2 linked regions of the Tribolium castaneum genome follow. The protein of the gene in region 2 interacts with the protein of the main gene of each other region in a pairwise test. Links are inferred from orthologs where the notes say so. Each region holds a gene or a part of one and is shown on either strand. Other genes may lie near its edges.

Region 1 (10,707 bases), on a different chromosome or scaffold from region 2:
AAGAAATCAAGACTAATAATTATTGTAACATTTTCTTTAATTAGTTTGTTCCAAATATGCTCTATTGATATAATTAAAGATGCTAATTTTGCTATCTTATTATTTACTTTCGATGTGGTCATATACACCTCGTTTAGGTAGCAATAGTCCACTTTGACATTTGACCGAAGTTGCAAAATGTTATTTTAAGTTTCCGTTTTATTCACAGTTTGGTTGTGGTTAGTTTTCACGGGCCCCAGAAGGAGACCAAAAATTCGATCAATTTGTTTTTGTATGATTAATTCCAATAGTAATTTACGAATTTCAGTTATTGCTGTAGGTAAACAAGAATTTCGCTTCATTTTTTTATTTAATTGAGGTGTGTGATTTTCTACATATTTTAATGATATTCAGAAATTTTCAGCGCTATACCCTTATTATTTTTCCAGGCATCTATAGCCATTTTTTCTTGATTTTTTTTGTTAATTCTATTTGCTTTTAATTGACTTTTTTTACCTACATGAGTTTGAGCATACCTTCTACCTTAGAAAATTAGGGCAAAATCATTAAAGTATTTACTTTTTAAATAGACCTTTAAAAACAGGGTTGTGAATTCGCTACGCACTAGTCCACTTTGTGGACTCTCATGAGGGATCACATTCCGAATTTGTTTGGACGAAACCGTATTCATTTTTGTGCTCAAGTGGCCCAATAGAAAAACAGGGCAAAAAGCGAATTTTAACTTTTAACAAAGGTACCTTGAAAAACGGGGGTAGATCTGATAAAAAATGGTGTGTGCCGAACAAGCCCATATAGTTTTGCTTTTCTTAAACATACCTTTGAAAACAAGGTCAAAATGCTTAAAAGGTGTTGTGTGCTGAAGGGGCCCTTATAGTAGTAATCTACAATACCTACATTTTTTTTAATTTGTTCATGTAATTCCATAAAAACAAGGCACTGTGATCACAACACGGTGCTGTAAAGACACCGGGAGACTACAGGGAGGATTAAAACTTGCCGATGTGTAAAAAAAATAAATAATTTATTGAAAATCGTATGGTCAAAATGTGATCCGTAACAAAATTGAAGAGTGTACCTAATACTTAATACTTAAACTTTAAAAACCGCCTAAGCAAATTTGAAAAACTCGAGTTTTTTATCAGTCAACGAAACCAGAAAACTACCATTTTGATTCTGGAACCCTTTCAGATCGAAAACACTTTCGTGCGCCGTCACGGAGCAAACCTTTTGCCCCGTATTGATGCTCCACAAGAACACACTCTTGCAATTTTCCTGGTGGGCAGCAACGTAATCACTCGTATGCGACAAAAAACACGACTTTGATAGCAACTTCTGCATGCCGCCCCCTTGAAACGTGTGCAGAATATTGCAGTCAATTTTCCCCTCATTCCTCGCCAAGGTACTTAAAGTATGCCTCGCGTACGTAATTCGACTATTGGGCCTAGAAGACACTAACAATTGCTTTGTGTTTGTTTGGTATTTCATTGAAACGAATGGTCCCTCTAAGGAAATCGGGTGTCTCTTGTACTCCCCATTCGCGTTCTCGTACAGCCAGAGCGAGTTCAACTTGCAGGACACGACGCCCCCTTGCGCCAGGGCTTCGCCCGGGGCTGCCGGGATCGACGCGACTGAAACCACCGGAGACATGTCCCCTTCTATGGAAAAGGTACAAACGGCCTCGGTTAATTGCCGAATGTCGTATTTTATAACCGACCCAGCTTGCGTCCCTACGTATAGCTCGTATGGGTTGTTTTCGTCCCAACAGCATGACCAGAGGGGCATTTGATGGGTGAATTGGTGGACAACCGAATTCTCGTGGTTGTTTATGACCTTAAAGGTCTTGTCCATGGACGCTGTAAGCACCCAGTTCTGTTCCTTGTGGAAACAAATGTCTCTAATTTGCAACGTATGGACTGGAATGAACGCGATTGTTCTGTACCCCGAAATGTTTATTTTTTTCAAGCCGAACCCGGCGAACAAATTCGTGGGCGACTTCATCGAAGCCATGAGCAGGTCCAGCTCGCAGCGCGCGTCAAAAACCCGGCTTCCGCCGAATTTGCAAATCTCCATCGCCTTGTCCATGTACAGCTTGACGCGCTCCACCATGGGCTGGTTGAAAGTAGGAACATTGTTCTGCCTCAGTTGCGTCTTGAGCTGGGCGATCTCCTGCCTCAGCAACTGCTCGCGGTAGGCGCACGTGGCCAACTCAGTCTGGAACTTGTTGCGCTGTTCGGTCACCGAGTCCAGCTGTTTTTTGATATTGTCCAGTTCAGTTGTATCAATTGCTGTTAGTTTTTTGGCGTAAATGTAGCGAATGTCGTGGCGGCGCGCCTTCTCCTTGCAGGTCGGGCACGTTTTGCGCGAGTTCTGGTTCAGCCACCGGGTGATGCACTGCTCACCGAACAGGTGCCCGCACTTGAGGGCGCATATCCGATGGGGGCCCGTGTTCGTCCACTCGTCCAGGCAAATGGGGCACACGGAGCCGTCCTCCTCGCGCTCCTCGTCCTCGAAGGTGCGCTTTCGCGACTGGTTGCTCTCCTCGTCGAAGGTCTGGGGGGTGCTCGCCACTGACTCGGTGGGGGACAGTCTTTCGATTTCGTTGGCTTGTGGCACTAGGGGGAACCCCACGTCGTTGTAGGTGGCGGGGGGCTCGTTATTATCTACGTTTATTGCTACTAATGCTAAGGGGTGGATCTCCTCCACGCGCGGGGAGATTATCTGCAAGGGGTAGTCCTCAGAGCCTTCAACTTCCATCTCATTTTCTGAAACGGTTGACTTGTGTGATAATTCGCACGGAATAACGAGTTTATGGTTACCTCCGTGGTTGTAGTCATCCAAGTTCATTACTTTTTGGGTTTTTTTTCAAATAAATTTACAACCTAACCTCAAAAAACTATCCTGTCAATGTCAAATGGCGACGTCAAACTCAAGGACGTTTCAACGTCAACGACCTTCACGTCCTTGCATAAGATTTTTACGCAAAAATAACCACACGGAAATGTTTTTGCGGATTTTTCGTAACCACTAAGTGAAAAATAACTCATCTGATAACTGATAAAAATAAAAAATACAAATAATTCACGATTATGAACTTCCTCCCTGCTGGCAGTCAAATAAGCCTTTAAATCGAAAAGTTGGAAAAAACTTGCGTTTTTTATATTACTGTGGAGTCACAAAGGTTGTTCCAACTCCCGAGAAGGGGTCAAAAAGACTTTTTAGTAAAAATTTACAAAAACCTAACATTGGACAAATTTTGCGATTACATCCCGTATCTTCTTTCTGGATAAAGCTAGAAATTTATTTTTTTTGTAAAAGATTCCACCGTAAATAATGCAGTTTTACGTATTTACACAAGGTTGACTTTTGATAAAAAGAAACTAAAAATTACATTTTCTTGTAACGTCCTGTGTAATGAATTTTTCGATATGAAATGAAGTTAATAACTTAAATAAGTTTTTCATGTAAGAATCATTTCAATATCTGGAACACTCACAGTTATTACAATATAAAATTACCGCAAAATCTGCTCGAGGTGAAATCGCAGCATATTTCTAAAAATGATAAATTAACAAATTACTTTTAATCTAAGGTTACCAACCGTCCTGATTTAGCCAGGACGGGTTTAGGTTTTTACACTTATGTCCTGTTATATATGTTTTAAGTTGCCACCAAAAACACAGAATGTATCTACCTGATTTTTTTTTTCGAATAAAAACTACCGAAAATCTTCGTTTTTTCGAAAAATTTCTAAAACATGTTAATTAGATAAAAAAATTAAGATAACGGGAAAAACCATACATTTTCCGCCAATTTTTCTTCTTTTTTGGTCGAAAATAAGCCCAGATTTCCTAGGAATTCTTGCTTATAAAAGACTAGAAACCCTTAATTTTTGGTGTAATTTGAATAGGTTTTCATAAAAATTTTGCAAAAAAAGCTAAAGATGTTCGCAGCGATGCCAAAATACTAACAAAAAACAACCTTTTTTTCAAGTGTTATGACAAGATTTTACAGTATATGTATATTATTTTAACCGCCCTAACTTTCTGTTAATATTAATATCAAAAACAGTCAAGTGAACATTTTTATGCAAAATTTTCGGCTTTACAATTTTTGTTTAAAACTTTTTTTTCTAGCTTTCAGCGATTTTGAATAATCTGTAAAAAACGCTTTAATTTCGTTTCTTCAACTAAAAAATTCTTTGTCTAAACGTTTTTAACTGCTCCATGTAACTTATATAAAAAAAGCGAGCTTTTGAACATTTCGATTTACAGGCTTATTTGACTGGACCATTGAAATTATTCAATGACTGGACTAATAATAGGTGATTGTAATTGAATTTAAATCTATTTTGAAATAGTACCGAAGGAGTCTCGACCTTTCGTGGTGCTACTTATGTAAATCTGTTGCATAATCAGTGCATAAATTAAGAGTTAATGCGCAACTTTTATTTTCATGGAGTATTTGAGTTTCAAATGGACGTGGATTGTCTTAGGGTTGTAACTCACCTCAGTGCCTGTATATTCAAGATTAAAATTTTATTTTAACAGTATTCAATCGCCGATTTACAAATAAAAACAGTAACTAATTGGAAAGTGGTTATACAAAGCATTTCATTCAATTACCATACTTGAAGTGCTAAAAAACTAATCTGGTGGTTTTCACTAGCAAGAATAAACCGTAATTAATTGAAAGACTTTGTACTCGAAAGAACTAACGATAAGCATCAGTAACATCAATAAATTTCAAACACCAATATTGACAAAAGTTGAAATTAGTTCGCAAGAGCCAAAACAAGACTTTCGTATAGTGATTACTGAGACATAAGGTAAATGCAAACAATCCTTTTATTCATCTTGTACACCTTCAAAATAATTTAAGTCAGTAATCTATTGGGTAGAAAATGAAACTGCGTTTCATAACCAACTGTTGGAAAAGTGTAGAGAGAATATAGTAAAATGGCGGATTAAAATAGTTCACTAACTAAATAACTGTTCAGTTGCTCTTTCTATATCCCAGTTATACGACGACAAAGCGACCCGCGCCTGGTGCTCCTCCACTCCCATATCAACTAGCCTTTTTATTTTATCGTCACATTCTTTATTTACATGGGGACCTGCAAACAGAGCGTCACGCCGTCCTAATTGCAAACTGCATAAATTACCGCCTGCGTAAACATTTGTCCAATGTCTGGCCGTCATTTGAAACATTTCTATATTTTCCTTAAACTGCTTCGCCACCACGGCGTCCTGTGGGTCATCGGGCTCCGCAGCTGAGAGCAGCGCTTGGAGCGACAACAACACCGTCCTCAGCGTCATAGCTGCAGCCCTAGAATTTCATTTAATAACAAATACTACCACGTAATAGAAAGCACCATTGGTCCTTTAAAATGTCTAAGCAGATAGCGCCCGTTACTGATGATATATTCGGGTGCCATATCTTCGTAATGAACCTGACCTGTTACAAAACTCTTAGTCTTTTTTTTCCTGGTTATGTTGAAACGTACCTTGGGTGGATTGAAGGGGTATGTTTCAGGTACTTTAATCTCTAATACGAAGGTGCCCCCTTCGTAGGCCGTGTCCGGGGGGCCCGTGATCTCGCCTTTGAGCTCTGTATAACTATCATTTAAGAGTTCCACTTTGATGGCACATTTTGCTACCTAAATTTCAAACAAGCACGATCGTATTAGCCAAGTTTGTTGATTGTTACGAAATGACGTTGGAGTGATAACCCCTTCGCTTTGAATTTATGGCAGGGGGCATTTTTCAGTAATCAATATTTTACGTTGTGTACTGACAATTTCAAGTGTGAAAATTCGAAATGTCCGAGGAAACCGAGAACGGTAAGTGGCGTTTAGGAGTTAGAATGACATAACAGAAAAACAGTGTTTGCGAAGTTCCTACCTCTTCACTTTTAATAACCTCTTTAAACTCTCGTCGTATCCTTTGTGCTGCTATGTTAGCCATTCTGGTGGGGAAGTTCCTAAATGCAGTAAAACATAACAGATAAACCGTGGCTCTAAAAAATAGCGATTTGTTGACAAAAGTAAAAAATACACTGGCTAAAGATCGATTTTCACACTTTTAATTTCTCACTGAAGTTAGGCAAATTATGAAATGCTAAATGAAGAAATGTCACTTGTTTTCAATAGCATTATAGCCAACTTTACGGAATTTACGCGCGCGCCAAATCGGCCGAAATCTCGCAAATATTCGGGGATTTTCCCTCGGACTGCTGCAACGATGACGTAAGGGCCCCCCCGCGCGATTTCTGTTGACAATTTCGGCGATATTTTCGACGGAAATCTTCGATAAGCAGGGAGTATTTCGTCACAAGGTTTATCATTCTGGAGCGTTGTTTGCCGATAACATTAGACCCCGCTTCTGATTGGCTGCGCGTTTTGCAGTTATGCCCGTTTCCCAGCCCGTACGTGCTAAAAGCTTGTTGCGGGCAAAGTTGGAAAAGTCTTCGTTGATCCTCCAGAGCAGAATGCCGAACATTAAAGTCTTCAGCGGGACCTCGCACCCCGACCTGGCCCAGAGGATCGTGGACCGGCTGGGGATCGACTTGGGCAAAGTGGTTACGAAGAAATTCAGCAACTTGGAAACATGGTGAGTGGGCTTTGGAAATTATTTGCTTATTGACTTGGCTTAAATTGCGACTTATTATTATTATTTTATTTTAGCGTGGAAATTGGGGAGTCCGTCCGTGGGGAAGACGTGTACATCGTGCAGTCGGGCAGCGGGGAAGTTAACGACAACCTGATGGAACTCCTCATCATGATAAATGCGTGCAAAATTGCGTCCGCGAGCAGAGTCACTGCAGTCATTCCATGCTTCCCGTACGCTCGGCAAGACAAGAAGGACAAGGTGAGTGCACAATTGCTCCAATTGTGTACCTGCACATGTGTAGATAACCTAGACGCCACGTGACTTTGTATACATCTGCAAGCGGGTTTGTGGAGACCGTAGTTTTGGTTTTTAGGACAATTAGGGTTGTGGTTTTTCCTATTGACCTGACAAATTAGTCAAGCATCTGGTTTAATAATTGGACAAGTTCAATCCGACCACGTAGTTTATTAATTTGAAACAATTTGTTTACCGTTAGGTCGGCAAAAGGAGCACGTGGTTGAGAGGGCGCCACTGCCGCGACTTAAGTATTTCAAACATGTTTGCTTTGCTTAAGAAATATATGATTTATGATGTGTTAAATAGTCATAAAGGCTTTTTACTAGAATATTAGCAAAGGCATAATAAATGTAACTGCACTATTAAAAGTGATTTTGCTATATCCATTTAACAAAGACAGTCTTTAATTTGTTACTTTTTATTACTACAATTATTGTGTACTTTTAGATTTTATTGATGTTTTTCTTGACACAAAAGTGGAAAAATAAGTCTATTTCTTATCATAATAAATACTAAGTGATTGTGTGATTAAGGTTTGCCAGTATTTAAATATCAAATTCAAAATTTTATACAAATAATATACACTTCCATGCCTAGCCATCACCTGAAACAAATTAGAAGAATGACCAATAGCTCAATAATGCCAATAGATTTTTTGTCAACATGTACTCATTTGAATGTATGCGTTTTTTTCTTATGTAGTTGGTAATCTAGAGGCAAAAACGTGGTCTAATTAAATATTACCGTTCGAAATTTGATTAACTGACTCTTCAGTTTTATTAATTATAATAATCAGCCTTGCCATACAAGAAAAGAAGCCATAAAAACTTACTCTAATTATAAATTCAAATGATTGATTGGTACTATGTATTATAATAACAAGATAAAAAAAACTAGTGGGGAGTCTACAGTTGAAGAGCAGATTTCGAGAAAAATTATTAAATTTTTTTTAATTACTGAAATAATGATTTCAAAACGTGTCTAAATTACATTACGTGTTACTTTTCCTTCAAAAGACCAAATTTTTCTTTAACAAACTATTTTTCATGTGCATCATTCTACTGCTCTACCCAACCGCCTTTATCTTGAATTGTCACAGGACTAAGCAAACGAATTTAGAGAAATCATACGTTTACAAAAAAATTTACAATACACTTGATCACGATTTTTTTAATATCTTTATCTCTTTCAGTAATTTTTTGAAATAATAAGAGTTCCAGGTAAATGGAATTCTTTGCTTGTGGCAGTTTTCAAGTGCAATTTTAAGTAACATTAAAATATTATCATTTTAATTCGGGGTGTTCTTAGTGCAGGTCCCAACTGGCCTGCCCTAATTGTTTTCCCCCTCAAATATTTGTTTATTACAATTTATTGAGTAATTTGAACAAAAATATTTTATTGGTTCCTTATCTGTGTAGCAAAACCACTTTTGCTTTCAATGACGTCTAAGCGAGGAACTAGCCACAGTTCTCTTAATTAATTAAGATTCTGTATATCTATTACTAATTAGCATAACTTAAAAATAGTTGAAATGGTCGGAAATACGTCAATAAGTTCGGGTTCATGTGTGTTTATAAACTGATAATAGTGGAATGTTTAGCAAAATGCATTGCTTTAAATAGTTTTATATTTCAAGAGTAGATCAAGTAATGTAATAATGTTGAACTACTTACACTATCGTGATAATAATTAAACTCTAATTATTATGATTCTTGACTTTTTCTAACGTGACAGAGATTGAAGTTTTTTCTAAAAAGTTGAAAGAAACTTATGTAAAGTGTATTTTTATTTATAATTGCACCTGTTTTTCGTATTCTCAATGTTTCTGTTGACAAATTTCCAATTTTTTCTCTTATGCAACGTAGTTCCCATAAATAAAATTTAATTTTAACTGAAATCATTCGATTAGAATAAAGTAGATTTACACCTTCGTACATTCACATACACACTTACCTGATACGAGATTATTTTAGCCTGCGAATAAAAATGACGTCGAACGCAACGTGGAAAAATGGAAGTCAATCGAATGGAAATTCAGGGTAAAAATTGTTAAATTTTGTGAATGTTGCAGGGGCTTATTGGGAAAGTGTCGTCTGAAAATCATGTTTTTACGCCAGAGTTAGACTAGCTTTGTACGTTGTTAATAACACTGATACAAAACACAGCGTTCATACGTCGCAATTAACAAATAATAATAAAAAAATCATAAATGGGCGCGTAATTGCGACACGCTGTATATGATTCCCGGAACTGCATGCCAGGATTACAAAACGAAGGGGAAACGTACTGTTGTGAAACAATTTTACATTGACGAAATAGTCATTATTATCGTGTAACAAACATTCAGGAGTCAGAAGTCAACTTTTGTTTATCTGTTTATTGTTGGGTAAAAATTATCATCCGAAAAATGATGTAATGATCTTGAAACCATGCGATAATAATAATAATACCGAAGACTTATTAACTAACCCGACATGTCATTTTACTAATTGAAAATTTAGCTAGATAGTGGCTTGGGAATTTTGTTTAGCTTTTAACATGTTAGGTCCCTCGCCCTCGGCCCAATGCATGCCAATTTGAACCTTTGCTCAACAGAGTCGGGCCCCAATTTCGGCCAAACTGGTCGCGAACATGCTCTCGGTGGCGGGGGCCGATCACATCATCACCATGGACTTGCACGCGTCGCAAATCCAGGGCTTCTTCGACATCCCGGTGGATAATTTGTACGCCGAACCGGCGGTGTTGAAATGGATCAAGGAGAACATTGTCGAGTGGCGGAACAGTATAATAGTGTCGCCGGACGCCGGGGGCGCCAAGAGGGTCACCTCCATCGCCGACAGACTCAACGTCGAGTTCGCCCTCATCCACAAGGAGAGGAAGAAGGCCAACGAGGTGGCCTCGATGGTGCTCGTCGGAGACGTGAAAGACAGGGTTGCTATTCTGGTCGACGATATGGCCGACACTTGCGGCACGATCTGCCACGCAGCCGAGAAGTTGACCGAAGCTGGGGCTACGAAAGTCTACGCGATTTTGACGCATGGGATTTTCTCCGGACCTGCCATAACTAGGATTAATAACGCGTGCTTTGAGGCTGTGGTTGTCACTAATACGATTCCACAAGACGGGCATATGAAGGATTGTTCGAAAATCCAGGTGAGTTGTGCGATTTGGCACAAATCACAAGTTTGATGATTGTTTGGTTTTTTAGTGCATTGATGTGTCCATGATGTTCGCTGAGGCGGTGAGGAGGACGCACAATGGCGAATCAGTATCGTACCTATTCTCGAATGTTCCTTATTAACCCATTTTTATTATTTTAAATAATAAAAGTGTTAGGTTGTACTGCAAATCCTCAGATGTAGAAGATGTTCGTTTTATTTCTTTATAACTAATTGATGATGAGATACAAATTCATATTTTTTTAAATTATAATTTAGACCTTTACAGGTGCATGCCATAATATTTACGCTAATTACAATTAGGTTCTTGCAATAAAATATTTTTTTATTATTTCGAAATGGTCTTGTAGTGTATATAATTATGGCTTATTTTTGTACAAGAAATAAAAGACACGAGCTTTCTCTATACATTTTTTTGCAAATTATTTTGTATAAAAGAACTTAAATATACACAATAAATAGATTATAAAAGCGTTTTCGATTGATACTAACCTAGTGTTTCGACTGGCCTTCTGGTAAAGGAACATCAAAAACTATAGGTAGGTTTTTTGGAATATAGTTAATATCACATGTTGAAGCGTTGATATAGATGATTTTTCCGTCCGAGAACACTCCATAACCTG
Region 2 (10,958 bases):
AAATTCATTTTTCGATGCTTGACCAGCGAGCGAAAATGTCGATGGAGCGTCTTTAAACGTCATTGTTGATGATAGAGATATAGTCTTTTTTAAAGGCAATTCAATTCTGTAACACTTTCTTCCTAACATTTTTCTTGTATATTTAACCATATTGGCACTGTTAAAATATGACGAAGCTCATATTTTAAATATGTTTTCTCATGTTTCTCATGAAAATTTTAGTAGTCAGTTTTCTCAGTCTATTAAGAAAACAAAGCTCAACGTTTCTGTATTGTTTCCAAATAATTAGTGAATTGGTCAAATTTAAAACGATTTGACGCTCGAAGTCTACAGAAAATCTTACGATTTTGTATCTCGTTTCGTCTCCTAATCTACAGTCGTCCGTAGTCGGAAAAAATCAAAAAGTACGTGAAAACTCATCTGCTATCCCTTCCTGGGTGACATCGTTTATGATATCGCTGGAGATGGAGATTTCCGACCGCGTACTCAAATCATCTCTGGCATCTTGTGGCTTCTGTTGGCGCACATTTCTTTGCACACTCCTCCAGTTTGGACCAACACCCAGCAAGCGGATGTGGACATTATCTGGCATTTCCTTGAAGACGTATTCGTTGGTATTGACGTAGTACCACGCCGCCGGAGCCACGACAATGTCCCCAGCCGAGCTAATGCTTTCGGCAGCTTTAACGTCCCAAATCGGTTTTCCCACCACCACGTAGTGAGAATTGGTGGAGTCTCCAATTAGGGCAAAGGTCACAAGACCGGTCGAAATTGCCAATTTCACTTTAAACTTCCATTAGTAAGTAAATTAATATCGGCATGGTTTGAATTACCTCGAATCACGACACCGACGTCCGTTAAATACGAACCGTAATTTTTCTGAATGACTAGAGCACTGTCTAGAGCTTCGTGGACGGCGTCCCGCATGGTGTCGCTTTCGCTCGATTTGAACATTGCAAGGAAAGCGTCACCAGAGAATTTCAAAACGTCGCCGTTGTGGGACAACACTTCTTGGACCATTGAGCCCAGATATTTATTGAGGACTTGGGTCATTCGAGAAGGGCCAGAAACGCCAGTTTTTGTGTATTTTTCGCACAGTTCGGTGAAACCTTTAAAATGGGTGGTGTAAAGGCTGGCAGTGTAAGCTGTTTGAACGTCTACCCGAAACGTCCCCGAAGAGGAAACAGGCGTCGTATTGCCGATGGCTGTAGTCGTCCACGTTATAGATGACCTCATCGGGGACCAAAGACGCCATGACTTTGGTCTGTCGATCATCGATTGAAAGATCCATTACACTCTTGGACTTTTTGCTCATCATTTGGCTGTGAGATCGCCGCTCCTTCCACAATTCTGAGTCCGATTCTCTGTATGCACTTGTTCTCATGGCCCAGATGTACTCCTCCTGCCCCACCTGATTCACTGTTTTTTCCTTTATGGATGGTCACATTGTCATCATTTAACTTACTCCCTTCCATCATTTTTGAGGATTTTTCGATAAAACCGTTTATATAAGAAAAATGTAAAAATTGCCAAAAATGGCAATGACAGATGTCCTACTGGTCAAAAACAGTCAAAAAGGCAAGGAAATTTTGACATAAAAACGACCACTCCAGGACTTGAATAAAATAAAAAATCTGTAGGAAAATTGTGTTGCCTTGTTTAAGTTTAGCACCTTCGCATAATAGATAATAATATGTAAATAGCCGTTGTTGGTTATTGCACGTTTTTCTTAAAAAAATATTATGTGAAAAACCACTTGTGGCTACACAGACAGAGAATTCGTCTTGCACCAAGAATTGTGTTCTTTTTACACACTCAATTTTATTTAAATCCAAACGTTTTTTCATTAAAAAATTATAAGAAAACCTCAGTCGAAGATTCCAACTGAACACGTTATCCTACTTAAATCCCTAACATTTTTACAAACACAATTACATACATTTTACAGCCAGAGATAGGGTTTATGGGGGATTTACCTACGTAAAAGTACATTTTTACTATAGAAACTAATAACCATACAGAAACGAGAGTATATGTATACATATGATTTTTTTAGAGTTCTTCTACAATTCTTAATACTTAAAATTAATAAATATGTTGCTGATTTTTTTCTGAGTTTTGTTCTGGGCAATAATGTAAAAAATTGTCTCAAGTTTAAGTTTATTTGTTGTATAACTTAAAAATTATGAAAAATTTTACACAAAAATCTTTATCTATTTCCTGCACTATTTTTGCTTAAGTCTTTCTATGCTCATTATTGTAAAAAATATTTGCAAAATAATAGCTTTAGAACATAAAAGAAGAACTACAAGATAAAGCTTTTCAGATATTTTTTGTTTTATGTAATATTTATTTTATTATTATTACCCGAAAGATTAAAGAGTGTTCTATTAAAAACAGTAAGCAATTAAAAAAAATCAATTCCTACCATGGAATTTTTTATAAAATATGCAGCATTTATTTTATAAAAAACTTCCTCGAAGATTTTCTCAAAAATTACAAAAATATGATTTTTGTGGGTTGGTTTTCTCGGAATTCTCGGAAGCAGAAAAAGTCAAATGCCTCGAAAATGTAATTTTTGTTTTATTACTACTATTAAAATCATTTTGCTTATTATTCTAGGGGAGGTTTCAACTCCCAACCCTCAACTCGCTGTGCCACTGTTTTACACCAAAAATCTAATGAAAATTGAGAGATTTTCTATGAACTGAATACGCCTATAATTTGTGGAGGTAGATGTTGAGTATTTTAAATACTATCAAGCATACAAAATACAACCATTACTCCCAGTTTTTTATGCCATTAGCAATAAATTTTACAAAAATACGGTTAAAGTACGGTTAAAATTTAATTAGATCCAGAAATATATTATTATCATAACTTTTACCTAATTTTCTGATCTCTGAAAAGTAATAAGTAGAAAATAGCTATTTTTGATAAAATGCTACTATTTTCTGCATTATTTTTAATGAGTAAAAAGATGAAGAAACAGGCGCGAGTATTCTGTTATCCCAAATCTTTGGATTTCATTGAGTTGCTTGATAAAAAACGTAAACCTACAAACACAAATAAAAACAGCGCATATTGGATTTACTCGTAATTTTGAAAATACTTATCTACAACGTGTTTCACATAACTTTACAAGGTCTGCTCCTAATGTACGCACCCAAATATACAAAAGTCTCTAAACACTAGATACAAAAACACCATTAAATAATTATTTAATTTTTGAAAACCCATGACAGTGGTTGTCAGACAAATAAAATGACTGTTTCATTAATACTCATAAATTGCAGTTATTCACAAACAATTAACATGTGTTCTGTCAAGAGACGACATGAATATGAGTCTATTTATCTTAATCACTAACTAAAAATGTTGTAATTTACTGAAGGAGTGAATAAATTAGAGAAGGCTATCCAATTTTTTAACATTTGTAATCGAGTTCTTATCGGAATATGTATTGTCGGTGGCATTTTATATGCGCAGGCCTCGTAAAATTATGTGAAACACCCTGTACTCTGTATTGTTTTCTACTAAAATAAATGTACCTTAATTTTTTATTTTTTATAAATGCGTGTTAATTTTTGCAACAAAAAAGCAACATAAAAAATTGATTTGCGATATATTTTCTATCTAAACTGAATACCTGAGAAACAAAAAGAAAAATCTAGCGTACCAGTGTTCTTAAATTTTATTTGTATATTAACCCTGAATTAATTTTTGTTACTGAAACAGAAGTAAACACCGTCTTTATCTTCTTCATTTTAAATAAGGTAGGTGTAATGGTTTTTTAAACATCACAAAAATTTTGGAAATAGAGTTTAAAATGTGAAAATTCCGTTTCGTTTATTCTTATAAATAGCATCCAATTTTTTAAGAGATATCCTTTCCACATTTTTGGATAACTCTGACTCGATGTTTTACCAACAACATGAAAATAGTACTTAATTGCATTTTTTATTTATTTAGTTATTGTATTTTTTTATTATTTCGCCTCAAAAACATTTTTATAATATGTACGAGTAGTTAGTATCTTTTGGAATGTAGACAGTTTTAAACCCAGAAACCATTGTGTTGTGGCCTAATTGTGTACTTACCGTGTTATTTTCGTCTATTATGAAGAGAATTTGGCAAAGCATCAAACAAATGTTCATTTCTGTGAAACATCTGCCGGTTAAGCCTTGTGGTCAAACATTCATTAATCTCAATACCAAATGGAGGAAAGTAACAAAACTAAAACTGCTATTACCTACCTACCTTATAATCAATAAAACAGTTTGATCTTCCACTTTTTTAAATATAAAAAAATAATCTCGGTACCCCAAGAAATAAATGTAAAGAAAAAAAAGATAAAAATGTAACATCATTCTTCCTTTATTATTTTTATTATTATTTATTATTTTTAATAATTTCAGTAAAAATTACTTTATAAAAAATGTTTCTGTATTCTGTACTATCTGGAAATGGTAATTTCAAATTACCACTTCCTTCAGATACAGTAGAATTCGGTTATAACGAACCCGCTTATTTTAACAAATTTCCGGATATAAGTACTCTGCCAAAGTCGCATTTTACCTAATAATTCTTTTTTGAATAAGGTTGGTAAAAATGTAGAACAGTTATTATTAATGATATATATTAATGATTTTTGAGTAATGACGTAACTTTTTTGTGAAAATCGACATTTTCTATTGCTTAGGTACTGTTTTTGATGGTGCACTCCTTTATTTTTTTTTGGTAATAAAGAAAAAAATTAAAAAAAAATTTTTACCTACACAAAAAATACTAAAATGTGAAAAGTCTTATTTTGTTGTTCTTTCCTTAACTAGGTATATTTTAAGCCGATTGGCAAAAAAAAATAAAAAACAATCACCACCTATAAAATAAGGCAGGAAAGGAAGATAAAGCTTTTCAAATGTAAACAGAGCAACATATTTAATAGCAAACGCTCATTTCTCATTTCCGTGTGGTTATTACTCGTTGTTAGTTTTTAAACCCTCCATAAACTCTATCTCTGGCTGCGCCACTGGATATAACGAACTTACAATATTTTGATATATTTTTCGTTATAAACGTACACCGCTCTATTCGACAAATTTTAACCTGTTTTCAACAAAAAACCTGTGTGTTATTCATAAAGAATAAGGTAGTTTTCACATTTATAATTCAAATTTGTAGGTTTTAAGATGGGTAAACCACATAATAAAGAGAGGTCTTTTCATTCTTTTGTATATCCCAAAACTTGACAGACTCTGTCTGCACATGGTGTTACATAAAAAAATTAGTGCTTTAATTAATCAAAGCAACAGACTGAAGTAAATATTTATTTTTTCGCCGGTCCAAAAACGTATTCTTACACAAATTCCCAACATAGAAATTGCGACTTATTTTATTGTGACAAAGGTTTCTCTGTATTCAAACAAGAAATCGGGTCATACATATTTATTAATCATTACGCATACATTAGAAAAATTTGCACAGACTTCCTGGTCCAAGTCGTTATCAGCATCAAAATAGATTTTTGTCCAATAAACCTAAATTATTCCGTCAACATAATAACCCGAGATAAACATAATCAGCTTTAATCTCCGCCGACCATTAAGTAAAACGTAAACACCATGCGTATTACCATAAACAACCCAACGCAAGGTTTCTAATGTTTTGGTCGGCTCTAGACCATCAGCTGATTCACCTGAGCCCACCATTCTTTGTTGTCCAAACCAGCAGCTGACTGTCATCCCCTCCACACCGCGTACGTCACACCCCAGCCGGCCAATCAGACCCCGAGCTGGGGCATTCCGTGGTGGGGAGGGCATGTCAAACTGAGGCGTCACGTCAGCTGTTTTCTGGTTATGTGCGAGGTGTAGAGGTAGACAGGAAGTCAGCTGTTGTGTGTTTAACTTGGAACGCATTCACCACAATGTCGGAAGCTGAGGCGACGACGTCCACCACGGACTCCACGGAGCCGGAGAAGATCACTGAAGACCTGCTCGAGCCGGAGGCGAAACGTCGCAAAACCGCCGCCATACAGCAGGACGAAAAGAAGTACAGGCTCGAGGAGAGGCTGGGAGGAATTCTCTGCTGCGCAGTTTGCCTAGACCTGCCCAAAGCCGCCGTTTACCAGGTAAGTGCCTTTGCCTCCTGCAGATTTCCCTAGATTACGTAACACTACGTCTTTGTCCCGTTCCGCTGCGCTCCTGTATTGATTTTCAGGACACTGCGGCTATATTTAAACGCGTTCAAGGGCCGAGGCTCGGGGTCTCCGCTCGACCTCCATTATGCTTTATCGTGGTTTTGCGCACAATTTTTACCAATTATTGTGTGCCAAACCATGGGTTTATCTCATCTACTCTTTTTGTTTTACCACATTTGTCTGCGTCATCCTCAGTTTGTAATTAAATACTATTGTACTTTTTTCATTGTTACAATGTAGAATAGTCATTTTTTGTAACTGTGATACTTAAATAATAAGACTCTGGATGTGATAATTGATAACTACTTTAACGAGTTCTTCTATTTTATAACAACGATGATTTTTGGTTCGACGTTGCAAATAAATGTATTATTAAATTTATATTTTAGTCATTATTCATATTTAGATATAGTATTTATTTTCCCCATCCTGTCCCATTTCTTTGTTGGTTTCGAAAAGAGCACAAGATTTTTATTTAACCACGAAATAAGAGAGGTAGGTAGCGACGACCAAGGCTGGGTTACTAGTAATTTTTACAAGTCACGAAATGGCACCACTTTCGATTAACATTTAACCCTAAGTTAATACTCTTTGGAAAACACATTTTCCATACGATTTAACTTGAAAAGTTAAAGTTAACCATAAGCGGTCACGCCACTTAAAAAGTTCAATCAATGCTATTTGAACAATGGTAGAGAAGGTAACGTAATGGTAAAATAAAGTAGCACCACCAGGGGCGGATCCAGAATTTTCATCAGGGGGTGAAATGTGAGCCTGGATAATCCACCATAAAACGTAAATTTTTTTGAATGAAAGAATTACTGCCCTTTCAGAAATCTGAAATATTTTCCTCACAATGCAATAAGTTTAAATTTTTAGAGGTTCAGTTATTAAAATCGTAACTGGTCCAATTTGTTCTACAAAACGTTTCTCAATTATTAATTATTGCCAAGAAATAAATTTGTAGATTTTAGGTCCAAGTCGTTATCAGCATAATAGATTTGTCCAACAAACCTAAATTATTCCGCCAACATAATAACCCTTGATAAACATAATCAGCTTTAATTTCCACCGACCATTAAACATTTTTGATTTTATGCAGAATAAGTAATAAAAAAAAATATTTACCTATTGTGTTTGTTTGCTTTCAATTGCTAATTTGCAAAATTTATTTACAAATAAGTTAAGTACAATATTTTTTACAACGAATAACTCAAAAGAAAATTTGGTAACTTGGTTTTTTACTGATGTGACTAAATTTACAAAATTGAATTATATATTTAAGTGATTTCAACTAGTTTCGAAAAGGCTGCCGTGAGATTATAAGAAACAAGTAGAAGTGTTGTTAAATGAAACCAAAGTGTAGTTGGTGAAGCGTATTGGGGGTTTTGGATCCGGCCCTGGCGCACCGCCGCTCTCACTCAATGTGGTCAGTTGGCAGAGGGTAAAAATTTGAGTTAGAGCGGTGGCGAGTATATTCGTTGAGTACATACAGCCTTATTGATAAAATTTATGTTAGTTCCAGGATATGAAGAGGATTGGTAAGTGTCTCCAAAGCTTAATTAATGTCTGTGGGGTGGGAACAAAACATTTCGAACAATTTCACACAAAAAACTTTTTTTGAAGGATGAGACGTTTCGAAGCCATTACAGTATATTTTATGTGCGTGTATTGCAGTGCAGCAATGGTCACTTGATGTGTGCCGGATGTTTCACGCACATCCTCGCCGATGCCCGTTTGCGTGACGAAACGTCAACATGTCCCACTTGCCGCGTGGAAATCTGCAAGACATTGGCGACGAGAAATTTGGCTGTTGAAAACGCCGTCTCGGAACTACCCTCCGAATGTCAGTTCTGCAACAAGCAGTTTCCGAGGAATTCCTTGGAAAAGCACGAAGACGAGGAATGCGAGGACAGGTTTATTTCTAACACAACTTTTAGTGCAGGCGCTAGACGCTTTCAAGTGCGCAAAATATAACAACCGGCAACTGTATCCCAAAACAAATAAAACGATAGAAAAAATATAGACACAAGATACAAATGAATGAATTCTGTGTTTATATCAGTTATTGACACGATGCGGTTGTCATACGTTGCACGCTCATTTCTTCTAGCGTCTCGTCTCATTCGGGGACGATAACGAGTGTTTTTCTGTGCAGAATTTCAGGTTGCAAGTACCACAGGATCGGGTGTCCGTGGAGAGGACCAGTGCATGAAAGGGCGCAACATGAAAAAGAATGCGGACATCCGCATAAGTCTGGGGCGGAAGTTATGGAGGCTTTGGAAATACTCGATCAGCAGCTGATTGAAGAAAGAAAACTATACAAGACGATATTTGAGTTGTTGGGTTACGATAAAATTACTTTTAACGGTACAATTCAAAAACTGATGTCCATTGTTGTATTGATGGATTTTTATTGCAGATATTCAGTTGAAGCCGTATCGTACCGACGATTTTGTCCATCGATTATTTTATGAATCATCGCGATTTTCGGCCTTCAATAATCAGTGGGTAGTCAAAGCTAAAATTAGTGATAATCAGAAGGACCCCACACAAAGCTCAGAACGAGATATGACTTATCAGGTACTGAAAATTTATTATTATGAGTATCATTTTATTTGTTTTGGCGCGATTTAATCAGAAAGTCTTGATTAAGATAAAATATGTATGTAAATAATAATATATTTCCACCAGATCTAATTTGAAACAGTCGTAATTTAACAAAAAAATTATCTTTCTACAGCTTTAAAATAATTCATTTTTTTATCATTCACCACTAAAGACTGGATTTTAGGACCTTTACATATGATAACAAAAGACAGTGAAAGTATAAAATAGGACTTTATAATAGGAAAATAAGTCTTAAGGTCCTATATCAAATACTTGATAAAAACAAACAAAAAAATATTAAAACATTTGTTCGCATTATTAAAGCTTCTAAATCCAAAATAAAAAATATATATTTTTTACAACCCCTCCGATAAGTGCTAGTATATTAATAAAATTTGGTAATACAAAGAAACTGTTAGGATTGCTTTAGCAGCAATTATTATGTAAGTATGCATTTATTATTTTTGTTTAAATATGCATTTCATTGATATTTATCTCCCTTTTTCCTATTAACTACTACTTTTGAGGTTTAGTTTTTCAGAGACCCAAAAAGTCATAGATATTGGTCGAAATCGGAATACGTCTTCATAGCTAGACCCAAGAGTCAGAAACTGATTACCTCTTTAAAAGATTTAAAAAAACTTTTTGTGTTTAAAAAATTGAAAAAGATGACAAAATCATGATTTTAAAATAAATAGAATCCAAAAGGCATGTTTTCCCAAGTCTAGTCTTTATTCATTACAGATATCCTAGAAGAATTTTAAAAATGATTTATTTGGAAAAAAACAAAATTTTGACCTTTTTACTCGCGTGTTTAATCTTTTTTTGCATAAAATAGGTGTATTAGATGTTCCAAAGCTATAAAAACGCCAACGTCGCATTTTCTCTTAAAATTAGCTATTATAAATAATTAGTGCACTTTAAAAAAGTAATACCTAATATAATTTACACTTTTCATCAGAGATCTAATCATTAATAACTATTTTACAATTATTTAAATCTTCTTTTAAAAAAAATAATTTGGTAAAATGCGACGTTACTTAACGTGCTTTGTTGTCTGTCTGCCTGTTTCATATTTTCCGAGCCAAATTTTTAGAAGGTTTTTGTTCGAATGAATTGAAATTTCGCATACTTACGTAATCTTCGTGACAATGCAATTCTACTATAGTTAATTACCCCCTAAAGATGGGGTTTTAAAGTTTTAGATTAAAAAGGGTTAAGCTAAAAAGCACACTGCTAACTCACTTGGAGAAATATATTAATATTTAATCATGTTCATTACGTTTTGTTATAAAGAAATGTCGCTAATTTTTTTATCTTTGATGACAAACAGAACAGAAGTTAGGACATGCTGTCAAATGCTAACATTTGTTTTCTACCACATACCACAACAAATTCACAAATTAGCAAAGTAATGGTGTTACAACGTAGTGAAACTGCAACTAAAGACAAACACAATTAGAATAAGTAAAAACTTAAAAGCAAATAAATAATATTTAAAAAAATGTTTTTTAAAAGACATTTTATCTTTTTTTTTTACAAAATGTGTTCTAACTCTTGTGTCTGATTTTATGTCTACTTCATGTTTAACCTCGAATTCTCGAAGTTTACTTATTTTATTTTGTTTTTTTTTTTAGTTAATCCTGAAATCAAAAACATCTACCCCCTTGAGTTTGAGTTACATCGTCTTACGAGGTCCTGTCGGAGATGTGAAGATAAATCCTCGAGTCTACAATTTCGATTTCACAGAACAAGAAACCGAAACTCCCTACGAACACTTTCCCCTACCAGACACAGCTGAATGTAATCGTTTACTAGCAGCAAAAACAATTAATTTCAGGTACTGTATTGCGTCGTAAAAATTCATGTTTCTATTGCTAATTTTCAGGTTAATCATGTTTTTGGCCTCAAAATAAGTTATTTTCGCATCGTCGCACCCAAAATTCTAGTTCGTATTTACTTATTCTGACCCTCATTTTCTTTTTTTTTTTTTGGCTGAATATACTGGAATGTCTATTTAAAAGAAGTTTGTATTTTGATTAAGTTAGCTGAAGATCTCTATAGAGTTTAGGAGTTTTTATATTTAGATCTTTATTTTATACATTTTATATATTTTTGGATTGTGAGATGTTTTTCGTTTTACAATAACATT

The links.
Region 1: the proteins of zinc finger TRAF-type-containing protein 1 homolog (region 2) and Ubc4 interact in a two-hybrid assay, tested with the Drosophila melanogaster proteins (2 studies listed by BioGRID). The link is inferred for Tribolium castaneum from reciprocal best matches to the Drosophila melanogaster genes CG32486 and Ubc4.

The regions. Positions count from the first base shown.
Region 1 is NC_087394.1:31,290,595-31,301,301, forward strand, and holds Ubc4 (ubiquitin-conjugating enzyme E2-22 kDa), read right to left. Parts: upstream 6,320-10,707; 5' UTR 5,964-6,319; coding exon 5,901-5,963; intron 5,840-5,900; coding exon of another isoform or gene 5,818-5,839; exon of another isoform or gene 5,686-5,817; intron 5,657-5,685; coding exon 5,504-5,656; intron 5,455-5,503; coding exon 5,372-5,454; intron 5,326-5,371; coding exon 5,162-5,325; intron 5,114-5,161; coding exon 4,977-5,113; 3' UTR 4,521-4,976; downstream 1-4,520. Other genes in the region: E3 ubiquitin-protein ligase RFWD3, read right to left, coding at 1,108-2,762, 2,817-2,844; Prps (ribose-phosphate pyrophosphokinase 1), read left to right, coding at 5,818-5,839, 6,404-6,608, 6,683-6,866, 8,879-8,944, 9,501-10,058, 10,114-10,206; metallophosphoesterase domain-containing protein 1, read right to left, coding at 10,577-10,704. UniProt on the Drosophila melanogaster protein: Catalyzes the covalent attachment of ubiquitin to other proteins.
Region 2 is NC_087396.1:18,935,512-18,946,469, forward strand, and holds the start of zinc finger TRAF-type-containing protein 1 homolog, read left to right. Parts: upstream 1-5,571; 5' UTR 5,572-5,923; coding exon 5,924-6,127; intron 6,128-7,873; coding exon 7,874-8,112; intron 8,113-8,354; coding exon 8,355-8,566; intron 8,567-8,618; coding exon 8,619-8,779; intron 8,780-10,443; coding exon 10,444-10,646; intron 10,647-10,694; coding exon 10,695-10,722; 3' UTR 10,723-10,958. Other genes in the region: adenylate cyclase type 10, read right to left, coding at 409-783, 834-1,109, 1,162-1,419, 1,466-1,478.